Linked DNA regions of Macaca fascicularis. The protein of the gene in region 1 interacts with the protein of each later gene in a pairwise test. Links are inferred from orthologs where the notes say so. Each region holds a gene or a part of one and is shown on either strand. Other genes may lie near its edges. The genes, in order: OSGIN1, BCAR3 and CAPN3.

Evidence for each region.
Region 2: the proteins of OSGIN1 (region 1) and BCAR3 interact in binary tests that used the Homo sapiens proteins (3 or more experiments, as listed by UniProt). The link is inferred for Macaca fascicularis from reciprocal best matches to the Homo sapiens genes OSGIN1 and BCAR3.
Region 3: the proteins of OSGIN1 (region 1) and CAPN3 interact in binary tests that used the Homo sapiens proteins (3 or more experiments, as listed by UniProt). The two-hybrid records come from large-scale screens. The link is inferred for Macaca fascicularis from reciprocal best matches to the Homo sapiens genes OSGIN1 and CAPN3.

Annotation. Positions count from the first base shown.
Region 1 is NC_088394.1:79,837,214-79,840,805, reverse strand, and holds the end of OSGIN1 (oxidative stress-induced growth inhibitor 1), read right to left. Parts: intron 1,848-3,592; coding exon 902-1,847; 3' UTR 582-901; downstream 1-581. UniProt on the Homo sapiens protein: Monooxygenase catalytic activity. Involved in regulation of cytokinesis; promotes RHOA activity, probably acting locally at the midbody in late cytokinesis.
Region 2 is NC_088375.1:140,814,920-140,818,565, forward strand, and holds part of BCAR3 (breast cancer anti-estrogen resistance protein 3 homolog), read left to right. Parts: intron 1-309; coding exon 310-752; intron 753-3,646. UniProt on the Homo sapiens protein: Acts as an adapter protein downstream of several growth factor receptors to promote cell proliferation, migration, and redistribution of actin fibers.
Region 3 is NC_088381.1:18,956,210-18,960,620, forward strand, and holds the start of CAPN3 (calpain-3), read left to right. Parts: upstream 1-1,575; 5' UTR 1,576-1,879; coding exon 1,880-2,188; intron 2,189-4,411. UniProt on the Homo sapiens protein: Calcium-regulated non-lysosomal thiol-protease. Proteolytically cleaves CTBP1 at 'His-409'. Mediates, with UTP25, the proteasome-independent degradation of p53/TP53.

The DNA.
Region 1 (3,592 bases):
ATGAGACTCTGTCTCAAAAAAATAGAAAAATAAAAACTGAACTGCTATGAAAAGGTAGCACCTTGGACCATGAGAGGAGTCTTTGCTGCGATGGCAGTGGAGGGATTTGTGTCAGAAGAGGCTTCCTAGAGGAAGTGATTCTTACCCTGAGAGACCCCAAGGAAGAGGAATTAAAGAAAGGCGGGAAACTGTCCTGGGCTGGGGACCCTCTGTGCAAAGGCCCTGCGGCAGGCAGGGACCTGGCCAGCAGGAGGGACTGAAAGGAAGCCACGTGGCAGAACAGAGAGGAGAGGGGACAGACTGCGGGGGGGGGGGGGGCAGAACTGCAGTGCCCTCCGGGACACCACTCCCTGCACACACCCGCCACTGCCACCCCCAGGCTGTAGTACAGCTGCCCGCTCAACTGCTCCCACACTTGGGGCACCATCCTTTGTACCCCAAGGCCCCAGTCATGGACCTCATCCAGGACCACATGCCCCAGGACTCCTCCCCCAATCGCCTTCCCTCCCTTCCCCCGAGCCCAGTGCAGGGTCCCGGGAACACAGCTCCTTCCCTGAGCACAGAGTCCTCAGACGCATGAGTGCAGGTGGGCACTGGCTTTATTTGGGACCTGCTTCTGGAAGGCGCAGGCCTGCAGGTCTCCTGCTGGGTGCTCAGCTGGTCCTGGTGATCCCAGCTCACACCAGCAGCTTTACCCCCAAATCCTAGGTCTAGGCCGACCCTGGCCTGCGGCCACTGTTACCACCTCAGACACTGGGATCCCTACTCCTCTTGACCCCAAAGGTCAGCTATGTGGGCTGACGCCCCTCCCTGGGGCATCTTTGGACGGACCCTACATCCAGCAGAGATGTGGTCATCTTTGTCCTCTCAGGGCCTGGGAGCCAGCAGGTCTGGCCGGGTGTTAGGGTGGCTTCCTGGTCTCCTTCCTTAGCAGGGAGCTGGCCACAGCCAGGGCTCCCCCCTGCACAAACCTCACGAAGTTGTCCCCGGCCAGCGGCCCCATGGCGTACAGGCCCTCCTGGCGGGTGCTCTGGTAGGTGAAGGGGTCCACGTCAATGGGGTTCCTCTTGGTGCTCAGTGGCTGGTCAGGGTCCACTGCAAAGTCAGCCCCTGCCCCAGGCAGGAAGGAGAGGTCGGGGTGGGAGCCGATGAGGACCAGCACCAGGGAGACCTCAAACACCTTCTCGACACCCTTGAGGTCCTGGAACACGGCCTGGCAGTCTTCCTTGAAGCACAGCAGCCGGTGCCCGGGGAGGCTGCGGTAACCCTCGTAGGGGCTGGGCGACAGGATGGACTGCTCCCGCATCATCTGATGCACCTTGTGGTACTCAGGGTACAGCATCTTGGGCAGCTGGTTGAACACCAGGCCAGGGTCGTCCACAGCCCGGCGGAAGGCATGGATCACGGGGATGTTGTAGTGGCGGGCGTAGAGGACTGCATCAGCCGCTGACAGCCCCGCGCCAATGATGAGGACAGGGTCCGAGGCTGGGGTCAGCGCACCCACCCTTGTGGCCGCCTCCAGAGCGGACAGCTCATGGTGGATGAAGGGCAGGGCCTCCCCGGGGATGCCCAGCCGGGCTGGGCTGTCGAACGTGCCTGTGGCGAGGACCACGTTGCGGGCCCACAGCGAGAAGGGCTGCCGGCCCTGGTCCCTGCTCAGGAAGCCGCTCACCTGGAAGAGGGGGCTGGAGTCCTGGGCCCCACAGCTGTTGGGATTGGGCGTTCCCCACTCCACGGCTGTGACTACAGCACCGGACACAAAGTTATGCCCCAGACCCTTCTTGACCACGTAGTCCCTGTAGTAGTGGGCAATGTCCCCGGCCGTGGCCCGGCTGTTGCGAAGGCCTCTGTTGGGGAGGATGCAGGAGGCCAGAGTCAGACACTGTTAAGGGTTGGGGGGCTGGGTGGGATGGGAGAGGTCCAGGGCGGTATCAGGCCCTGGAGCTGGACTAGGCTGTAGCTGTAGGACTGGGCCAGGTAATTCAACCTCTCCAAGCCTCAGTCTCCTCTTCTGTAAAATGGAGCTAACAAGGGTACCTCCCTCAGGAGAGGTGGTATAGGGTAGTGTAGGGTGGTGTAGGGCGGGGTTCAGAGTGCAGCCTCCAGAGCCACACTGCCTGGGCTCGAATCCTGACTCTGCCATCAGGGAGCTGTGTCTGTTTCCCCAGTTTGCAAAATGAGGAAGATGTTGGTGGCAGGACCTATTTCGTGAGGTTGTGGAGAGGATTTGGTGAGCCGATAAAAACAAAGGGCTTAGGATGGGCCACCATGATTGTCACCTCAAAGGATTAAATATGGTATGATTCCGTTTTTATATAGTTCAGAAACAGGCAGAACTCATCTATGGAGTTGGTCATCAAGAGAGGGGTTACCTCCGGGGATGGGGAAGGGGGTCCTGCTCGGAAAGGGCATGGGGGCTTCTGGGAAGAAGGTCGGTTTCTTGATTCTCTGTGCTTACCTTGAGAAATTTCATCAACCGGTACTCACAGGAGTTACGTACTTTTCTATATGTAGCTAATTTTTTAAATTTTATTTTATTATTATTTTTTGAGACAGAGTCTCACTCTGCTGCCCAGGCTGGAGTGCCGTGGCGTGATCTCAGCTTACTTTGGCCCCCGCTTCCTGGGCTCAAGCGATTCTCATGCCTGTGCCTCCTGAGTAGCTGGGACTACAGGCATGCAGCGCCAAGCCTGGCTAATTTTTGTATTTTTATTAGAGATAGGGTATTGCCGTGTTGGCCAGGATGGTCTCGAACTCTTGACCTCAAGTGATCCACCGGCCTCGGCTTCCCAAAGTGCTGGGATTACAGGCTCGCATCACTGCACCCGGCCCATATGTAGTCAATTTAAAAGTTGATTTAAAGACTCCCACGTGAGGCACTCGCCATCATTCCCAGCCCACACAGCAGCAGGAGGTATTTTATTATTGTTGTTGCTGTTTTAATTGTCACTCTTTCCAGGGGCAGTGACTGCAGGCCCATTCTTGTGGGGGTTGAATGACAGGCTTTGGCATCATCCTAGCACCTTCCTGTATCTCACTGTGTGACCTTAGATGAGTTAATTTACCCAGCTTGTGGGCTCATGGTTCAGGATGAACTCCCTTATGGGAGAATCCTGTGCCACCTGCTGTCTGGCTACATGTAGCAGGAGCTGACAATGGACCTCCAAGGCCGTGCCAGTCAACCCAGCGCAGCTCGTCTGTGACCCTGGAATTTATCTCTGTGGGCCGCCATTCTCCTTTTCTCAGTTTTTGTAAAGGTTGTGATACAGAACGGTCCCAAGAGCATGTTCTGTGCGGAGTTATTTATAATAATGACACAATGGAAAGAATGAACGCTCCAGGGCTGGCAGGGGCTGGGTAACCTTGGCAGCGCCGTGAGGGCAGGGGGTGTGTCTGCGGTGGTTTTGTGCTCTGATGTCTAAGCCCAAGGCCTGGCACATAATAAGCATTTGGTGATTTGCCGGACTGGGGATGCTCACCCGCCTTTGGGAATATTGTGAGGCCACGTAAAAGGATGGTTTTGAACGCTGTGACATCGCCACATGAAATGCTTGGGATAGAATGTGAAAACGCAAAAGTAGGCTATAAAAGG
Region 2 (3,646 bases), on another chromosome or scaffold:
TTATCCTCACTCAAACAGAAGCTCCCACCAAAACCAGGAGCTCCATGAGCTGGGCTCTTCGGTGCCGCTGTCACCACCGCATCCCCTGAGCCTGCAGTGGTTCTTGGCACGAGTAGGTGGTCAATGAACAGTTCTTGAATGAATGATTGGATCTCCTATGAATTTGCTATTTGAAAAACTAAAGAACTGGCCCAAGAAGAGACATAGTAGCATTGTCTTCTGTTGGCCCAGAGAAGTGGGTAGCCATAAGCTTTTAGAAGGAATGTGAATTTGCCTTTCCTACCCCTCACTCACCTTTTTGTCCCAAAGGTGTCGGAAAACCTTGTGCAGCGAGATGGCGACTTCCTAGTTCGTGACTCTCTGTCCAGCCCTGGGAACTTTGTCCTGACCTGTCAGTGGAAGAACCTCGCTCAGCACTTCAAAATCAACCGGACGGTTCTGCGGCTCAGCGAGGCCTACAGCCGCGTGCAGTACCAGTTCGAGATGGAGAGCTTCGACTCCATCCCTGGCCTGGTGCGCTGCTACGTGGGCAACCGCCGGCCCATCTCCCAGCAGAGTGGCGCCATCATCTTCCAGCCCATCAACAGGACGGTGCCCCTGCGGTGCCTGGAGGAGCGTTATGGCATCTCCCCAGGCCAGGCCCGGGAGGGCAGCCTCACCGAGGGAAGGCCAGACGTGACCAAGAGGCTGAGCCTCACCATGGGTGGCGTCCAGGCCCGAGAGCAGAATTTGCCCAGGGGAAACCTCCTCAGGTAGGTCAGGGTCTCCTCCTCAGGACTATGAGGGGCGCCGGGGGTGCCCAAGGTTAGTTAGGCAGATGAAGAATTCATCATGGAACAGAGAAATAAAAGGTGTTAATAGGGATGCTGACTGTTCGCGGAATAGCAGTCATGAGGCAGTGCACGATCAGCTCCTAGCCGAGCAGGGCCAGCAATGAATGGTACAGGAGCTGAGGAAGGATTGTGGGGGCACTTACAGGGGAGACCTTGTGAAGGGGGTAGGCTTAGGCTGGTCTGACGGCTGGGGGAAATTTGGATAGATGCTGTAAAAGGCAGGGGGTGTTCCAGGTGGGAGGCACAGCATGGGCATAAGTGTGGGGACAGAAAATGCCATGAAGAGCTTGCAGTGAGTGTGCTGATGGGGCTGGAACAAAGGGTCTGTGCAAGGGACCCATAGCAGTCGGCTTAGGGAGGTAGCCCCAGCCATATCATGGGGGCCTTAATGCCAGGTGCAGGGCTTTGAGGGAGCTGCACAGATTCAGCATAGTGAACACGGTGTCCTAAGAATAGAAATGGACAGCAATGTACTGGGGGCGAGGAGTGAGACAGGAACAGGAAACCCAGTTACTGAGTCATGGAGGGCCCTGGCTGCAGGAGTGGAGCGAAGGGAGAGTTGAGAGATGCAGGAGCCTGGCCTCCCAGGACTCTTCTGCACGTGGTAGAGTCAGAGGAGGGCACATTGGAGACCACAGGAGTGACCAGGAGGAAGGGCACTGTGGAGGATAAAACACACTTTTTCTTTTTTTTTTTTTTTTTTGAGACGGAGTCTCGCTCTGTCGCCCAGGCTGGAGTGCAGTGGCCGGATCTCAGCTCACTGCAAGCTCCGCCTCCCCGGTTTACGCCATTCTCCTGCCTCAGCCTCCGAGTAGCTGGGACTACAGGCGCCCGCCACCTCGCCCGGCTAGTTTTTTGTATTTTTAGTAGAGACGGGGTTTCACCGTGTTAGCCAGGATGGTCTCGATCTGACCTCGTGATCCGCCCGTCTCGGCCTCCCAAAGTGCTGGGATTACAGGCTTGAGCCACCACACCCGGCCAAAACACACTTTTTCATCTGAGCTGGAAGATGTGGTTTTGTTGAGTGCCAGAGTCCAGCAGCAGTTTTGGGGTCCAGGCGATGAGTTAGGGCTGAAAACTTAAATTAGGGCTTGGTCCACATGGAAAGGGTGGTTCACTTGATGAGAACAGATGAGATGTCTAAGATAGGAGATGCAGAGAGCATGGGGCTGTATTCTGAATCGCAGGGAATGGGGGAAGAGAAGGATTCGGGGCACTTGGTGGAAAATCAGGGCTTCAAATCAGGCCTCCCTGATCCTAGGCACCCAGCTGTCAAATGTCAGCGATGGTGGGCTGCATTTGTATAGGGCCGATCTTTCATGGAGCTCAGAGTCTTTGTGCATATTATCTAAAAGCACTGGGAAAGGAAACGAGAGAAAAGGCAGGCATAAGAACACAGATCCAGTCCAGCCCCTCAGTCACACAGCAGCCTGAGCCGTCTCCCAGCTTCTAATCTTATGCACGTAAACCAACATGTTTTATTCTACTCACTGGTTTTCTTTTTGGTCCATGAGGAAATGTCACAAACTGTCATTTCTATACTGCAAAACTTCGGGAGGAAAATACAGGACTCTGTGTGGAATGCAGATGACAGCTGTGTGCTGCCTGGAGGCTCTGGCACATGCTAGTCAGCATCTGGCTGGGGACCTGGTAGCCAGGCACAAATGCTGGTTCCACACTGGGCAACTGTTCAACCATAGGCAAGCGACTTGACCTTCCTGGGCCTCACCTTCTTTATCTGGAAAGATGGAGCTTGTGAGGTGTACATGATTTAATATATGCAAAGTGCTCAGAACAGTGCAGGCACATAGGAGATGCTAGGGAAATGCTCGTGATAATTATTATCTGGAGGGGAGCAGAATGTCAGACTCAGACCCAGCACAGTGGCTCACAACTGTAATCCCAGCACTTTGGGAGAATAAGGTAGGCAGATTGCCTGAGCTCCGGAGTTCGAGACCAGCTTGGGCCACATGGCATAACCCCATCTCTACAAAAAATATGAAAATTAATATAAGGAGTTCAAACAACTCTATAGGAAAAAATCTAATAATCTGATTTTAAAAATGGGCAAAAGATTTGCTCTTTTGAGAAATGGGTATTTCTCAAAAGAAGACATACAAATGGGCTGGGCATGGTGGCTCACGCCTGTAATCCCAGCACTTCGGGAGGCTGAGGCAGGTGGATTACCTGAGGTCAGGAGTTCAAGACCAACCTGGCCAACATGGAGAAACTCCATCTCTACTAAAAATGCAAAAATTAGCCAGGTGTGGTGGTGCATGCCTGTAGTCCCAGCTATTAGGGAGGAGAATTGCTTGAACTCAGGAGGCAGTGAGCCGAGATCATGCCGCTGCAGTGGCAAACAGGCATATGAAAAGGTGCTCAACGTGGTCATCAGAGAAATGTAAATCAAAACTATAACGGATATCACCTTACCCCAGTTAAAAAGGCCTATATCCAAAAGACGGGTAATAACAAATGCTGGTGAGGATTGTGGAGAAAAGGGAACCGTCTTACACTGTTGGTGGGAATGTAAATTAGTACAGCCACCATGGAGAACAGTTTGGAGGTTCCTCAGAAAACTAAAAATTGAGCTACTATATGATCCAGCAATCCCACTGCTGGGTATATACCCAGAAGAGTGGAAATCAAAGAGATATATCAAAGAGATAACCTGCACTATGTTTGTTGCAGCACTGTTTACAATAGCTCAGATTGGGAAGCAGCCTAAGTGTCCATCAACAGCTGAACAGATAAAGGAAATGTGCGTATACACAGTGGAGTACTATTCAGCCATAAAAAAATGAGATCCTGTC
Region 3 (4,411 bases), on another chromosome or scaffold:
CAGAAAGGAAGAAATAACTCACCTAAAGTTACACAGGCACAGCCAGTAAAGGGCCAACCTAGACTTTGAACTGAGGTGGTCAGCCACCAGAGACCGCTGTCCTCTATTCTGCCTCTCCAAGACTAGTAAAGAGCCCTGGGCGTTTTCCTGGAGGAACAGAAGGCTAGGCTGATGGTTCCTGCAAGCCCAGACATAAGAGTTCTTCAATGCCGCAATCCCAGGGATCAGGAGGCTGATAGTACTCCCTATTTTACCTGTCACTTCCCACCTTCTTCCATAGCCTCTAATCTTCGATTATTGAGACTGGTCGCATAGGAACAGGCATGACTACAGCCTAGGACATGCCTCCACTCTGCCATACTTGAAATGTGGTCATCTCCTTACAGCCCAGGGAGCAGCTGTTGTGGGTAGAAGACAAGGTGGAGGCCAGGCAGGCACTTCCCTTCCCCAGAGCCACTTATGCTCTCATCTAAGAGCCCTGAAACCAGGTGTGACATCCCAGGGCTTGACAGGCAGTCTGGTTCAGTATCCAGTTCCAGCTTCTGTCTCAGATGCCTAATGTGGCATGGCTGAATGAGTCAACATGTAACCTATACAGTAAGTCCTCACTTAACATCGTTGATAGGTTCTTGTAAACTGTGACTTTAACCAAAACAAGCTTACTAGAACCTATTGATGACACTGGGGATTTACTGTGCTCAGGTGCACTTTTTTTTTTTAAGATGGAGTCTCGTTCTGTCACCCAGGCTGGAGTACAGTGGCGCAATCTGGGTTCACTCCAACCTCTGCCTCCTGGGTTCAAGCGATTCTTCTGTCTCAGCCTCCCAAGTAGCTGGGATTACAGGCACCCACCACCATGCCTGTCTTATTTATGTGTTTTCACTGGTTTCACTATTGTTGGCCAGGCTGATCTCGAACTCCTGACCTCATGTGATCCACCCGCCTCGGCATCCCAAAGTGCTGAGATTACAGATGTGAGCCCCCGCGCCCGGCAGGTACACTTTTTATAGCAGATTCAGTCCCAGTGTTTATTTTGGGGATGGGAAGAGACAAGAGGTGGCAAGGTCAAGTCTGCAGGTACAGGCAGGGATTTTCTCAACCAAGGACTCTGCTGAGTAGCATTTTCCATGCAGACATTTCCAATAAACGCTGACCCAAGAACATTCTAGAAAAGATGCCAAATCTAACATTGAATAATGTTCTGATATCCTAAAATTTTAGGACTAAAAATCATGTTCTCTAAAATTCACAGAATATTTTCCTAGAATTCAGTACCTCTCGTTCACCCTAACTAGCTTTTTTGCAATACTGTTTTCCATTCATTTGTTGGCCAGTAGTTGGGTGGTCTGTATAACTGCCTACTCAATAACATGTCAGCAGTTCTCAGCTTCTTTCCAGTGTTCACCTTACTCAGATACTCCCTTTTCATTTTCTGACAACACCAGCACTTCATGGCAACAGAGATGTCCCTAGCCAGGTTCTCCTCTCTCTTGCTCTCATACTCACAGTGTTTCTTCACATCTATTTTTAGTTTTTCTGGCTCAAGCATCTTCAGGCCACTGAAACACAACCCTCACTCTCTTTCTCTCTCCCTCTGGCATGCATGCTGCTGGTAGGAGACCCCAGGTCAACATTGCTTCAGAAATCCTTTAGCACTCATTTCTCAGGAGAACTTATGGCTTCAGAATCACAGCTCGGTTTTTAAGATGGACATAACCTGTACGACCTTCTGATGGGCTTTCAACTTCGAACTGGATGTGGACACTTTTCTCTCAGATGACAGAATTACTCTAACTTCCCCTTTGCAGTTGCTTCCTTTCCTTGAAGGTAGCTGTATCTTGTTTTCTTTAAAAAGCTTTTTCTTCCAAAGCCACTTGCCATGCCGACCGTCATTAGTGCATCTGTGGCTCCAAGGACAGCGGCTGAGCCAAGGTCCCCAGGGCCAGTTCCTCACCCGGCTCAGAGCAAGGCCACCGAGGCTGGGGGTGGAAACGCAAGTGGCATCTATTCAGCCATCATCAGCCGCAATTTTCCTATTATCGGAGTGAAAGAGAAGACATTCGAGCAGCTTCACAAGAAATGTCTAGAAAAGAAAGTTCTTTATGTGGACCCCGAGTTCCCACCGGATGAGACCTCTCTCTTTTATAGCCAGAAGTTCCCCATCCAGTTCATCTGGAAGAGACCTCCGGTGAGTAACTTCCTGCTTACTTGCTGGGTTTTCCCCCCACGGAGGAGTCCTCCCACTCAGCACCTCCGGCAGCTCAGCTGTGCACATGGGCAATGGGGGAAGGATCCTGGCAGCAATTTTGCTGGGCTCTGTCCTTAAGTGTGAAGCAGGGAGGAGAGGAACAGGTCTCAGATATTTCACCAAATCTCAGCAAAATCCAGAGGGAGAGCGGGGGAGGTGGGGCTGATTCTCATGCTCTGACTCTTTCTCTCTGAAAAAAAAAAAAAAAATCTTGCTTTTTATAAAAGTGGTTGGAACTCAGTTTAATTCATCCTGTAAAAATATTCCTTTCTCAGAACAAATTCCAGAGAGCCCAGATCTACCCTTTCATTTTAAATACCTTTCATCTTTGTAAGATCACTTTAGTTTCTCTGGCTAAAATCATGATGTTATTCTTCTTTAATTTACCAGTGGCCATATCTTTCTGAAACATAGCAACCCTAGAAAGAAGAGAGTCATAAGCACGGAATATTTTTTCATGCATAAAATGTTGGGGTTAGAGAGAGAGACCTAGCAATCGTTTTTGTCCACCTACCTCACCTCATAAGCGAGGAGTCAAGGCACACCAGAGCGAAATATATCCAGTGGGCACATGACAGAGCCTGGATTAAAACTTTCTCTTTTAGGAAACTCTCCCAGCCTCTGGGTTTCATTTATAGTGATCACCAGGAGGGAAATCACATTCCCCTGGCTCGCCTCTCTGATCATCCCTCCAGTGTGACTTTTGTTCTTAATTCAAGAAATATTTATTGAGCATCTACTAGTGCCAGCACTGGACAAGCAACTGGGGGGACAGCAGTGAGTAAGAAAAACCAAAATCCAAGCTGTCTTGGAACCTAGGGTCCTGAAGAGAAGATGGGCGTTGAACAAGAGTGACGTTGTCAGGAGACGATGTTCTGGGTGCCACGGGATCATGTGGCAAGGAGAGCTAACCTGGTCCAGGGAGAGAAACCCTTCCTGAGGAAACGATGGCAACCTGACACCTGATACTATTCATTAGTCATGTTTTTCTTTAACCTAAGATGGGCCAGGCGTGGTGGCTCACGCCTGTAATCCCAGCATTTTGGGAGGCCCAGGCTGGAGGATTGCTTAAGCCCAAGAGTTTGAGACCAGCCTGGGCAACAGGGCAAAAATCTATCTCTTTTGTACTAAAAATTCAAAAAATTATCCAGGCACGGTGGCACATGCCTGTGGTCCTACCTACTTGTAGGCTGAGGTGGGAAGATCACTTGAACTCACAAAGTCCGAGGCAGCAGTGAGCTGAGATCACGCCACTGCACTCCAGGCTGGGTGACAGGACTGAGACCCAGTCTCAAACAACAACAACAACAAACCTGAGGTGGAATACTCCACAACCCCATGTATTCCATAGGTGCTCTTCTTGGTTCTATGGTAAGGCCCATAACTGTCCTGCAGGCCTTCAGTTTAGAAGATAACACTGCTCTGCTATCAGAGTAGTTGGACACGTCATAACCCCCTGCTGAAATATCTTCAGTGACATCCCTCTCTCGGCTGCCTTCAGGACAAATCCCCCACTGCCTTCAGGACAAATCCAAACTCCTTAGCCAAGCCATAGGCCCTTCTCAGCTGGTCCCTGCCTACCTATCCAGGCCCATCTCCATCCTCTTTTCGCAGATCCTGACACACCAGCAGTGCTTGGACATTTAGCTGCTCTGTGGTTCCAAGTCTTCTCACACCGGAGGCCTTTGCTCATGCTGTCTGTCTGCCTGGCATGCCCTTTTTGTTCCTGTCTGAAACTCTGCTCAGGTGTCACTTCCTTCAATCTTTCTCATGACTGTTTTCCTCTCACTGAGAGCAGAGACTCTTCCTGTTCATCTTTGAGGCCCACTCACCAAGTTCAGGCCAGTCCCATAGTGGGTACTCAGCTGATGCTGGTGAATGAAAACCCATGCCCGAGGGCCTTGACCGGTGAGACAGGATAGTCCTGCGTTCCCAGGCAGGGAGTTCTTAAAAACCCTTTCTTGTGCCAGACGTGGTGGCTTATGCCTGTAATCCCAGCACTTTGGGAGGCAGAGGTGGGAGCATCACTTGAGCTCAGGAGTTGGAGACCAGCCTGGGCAACATAGTGAGACCCTATCTCTATAAAAAAAAGAAATAAAAGCCCTTTCTCAGAATGGGTAAAATTAAAACCTACAAATACTATTTTCAGTGAAATCATTGGTG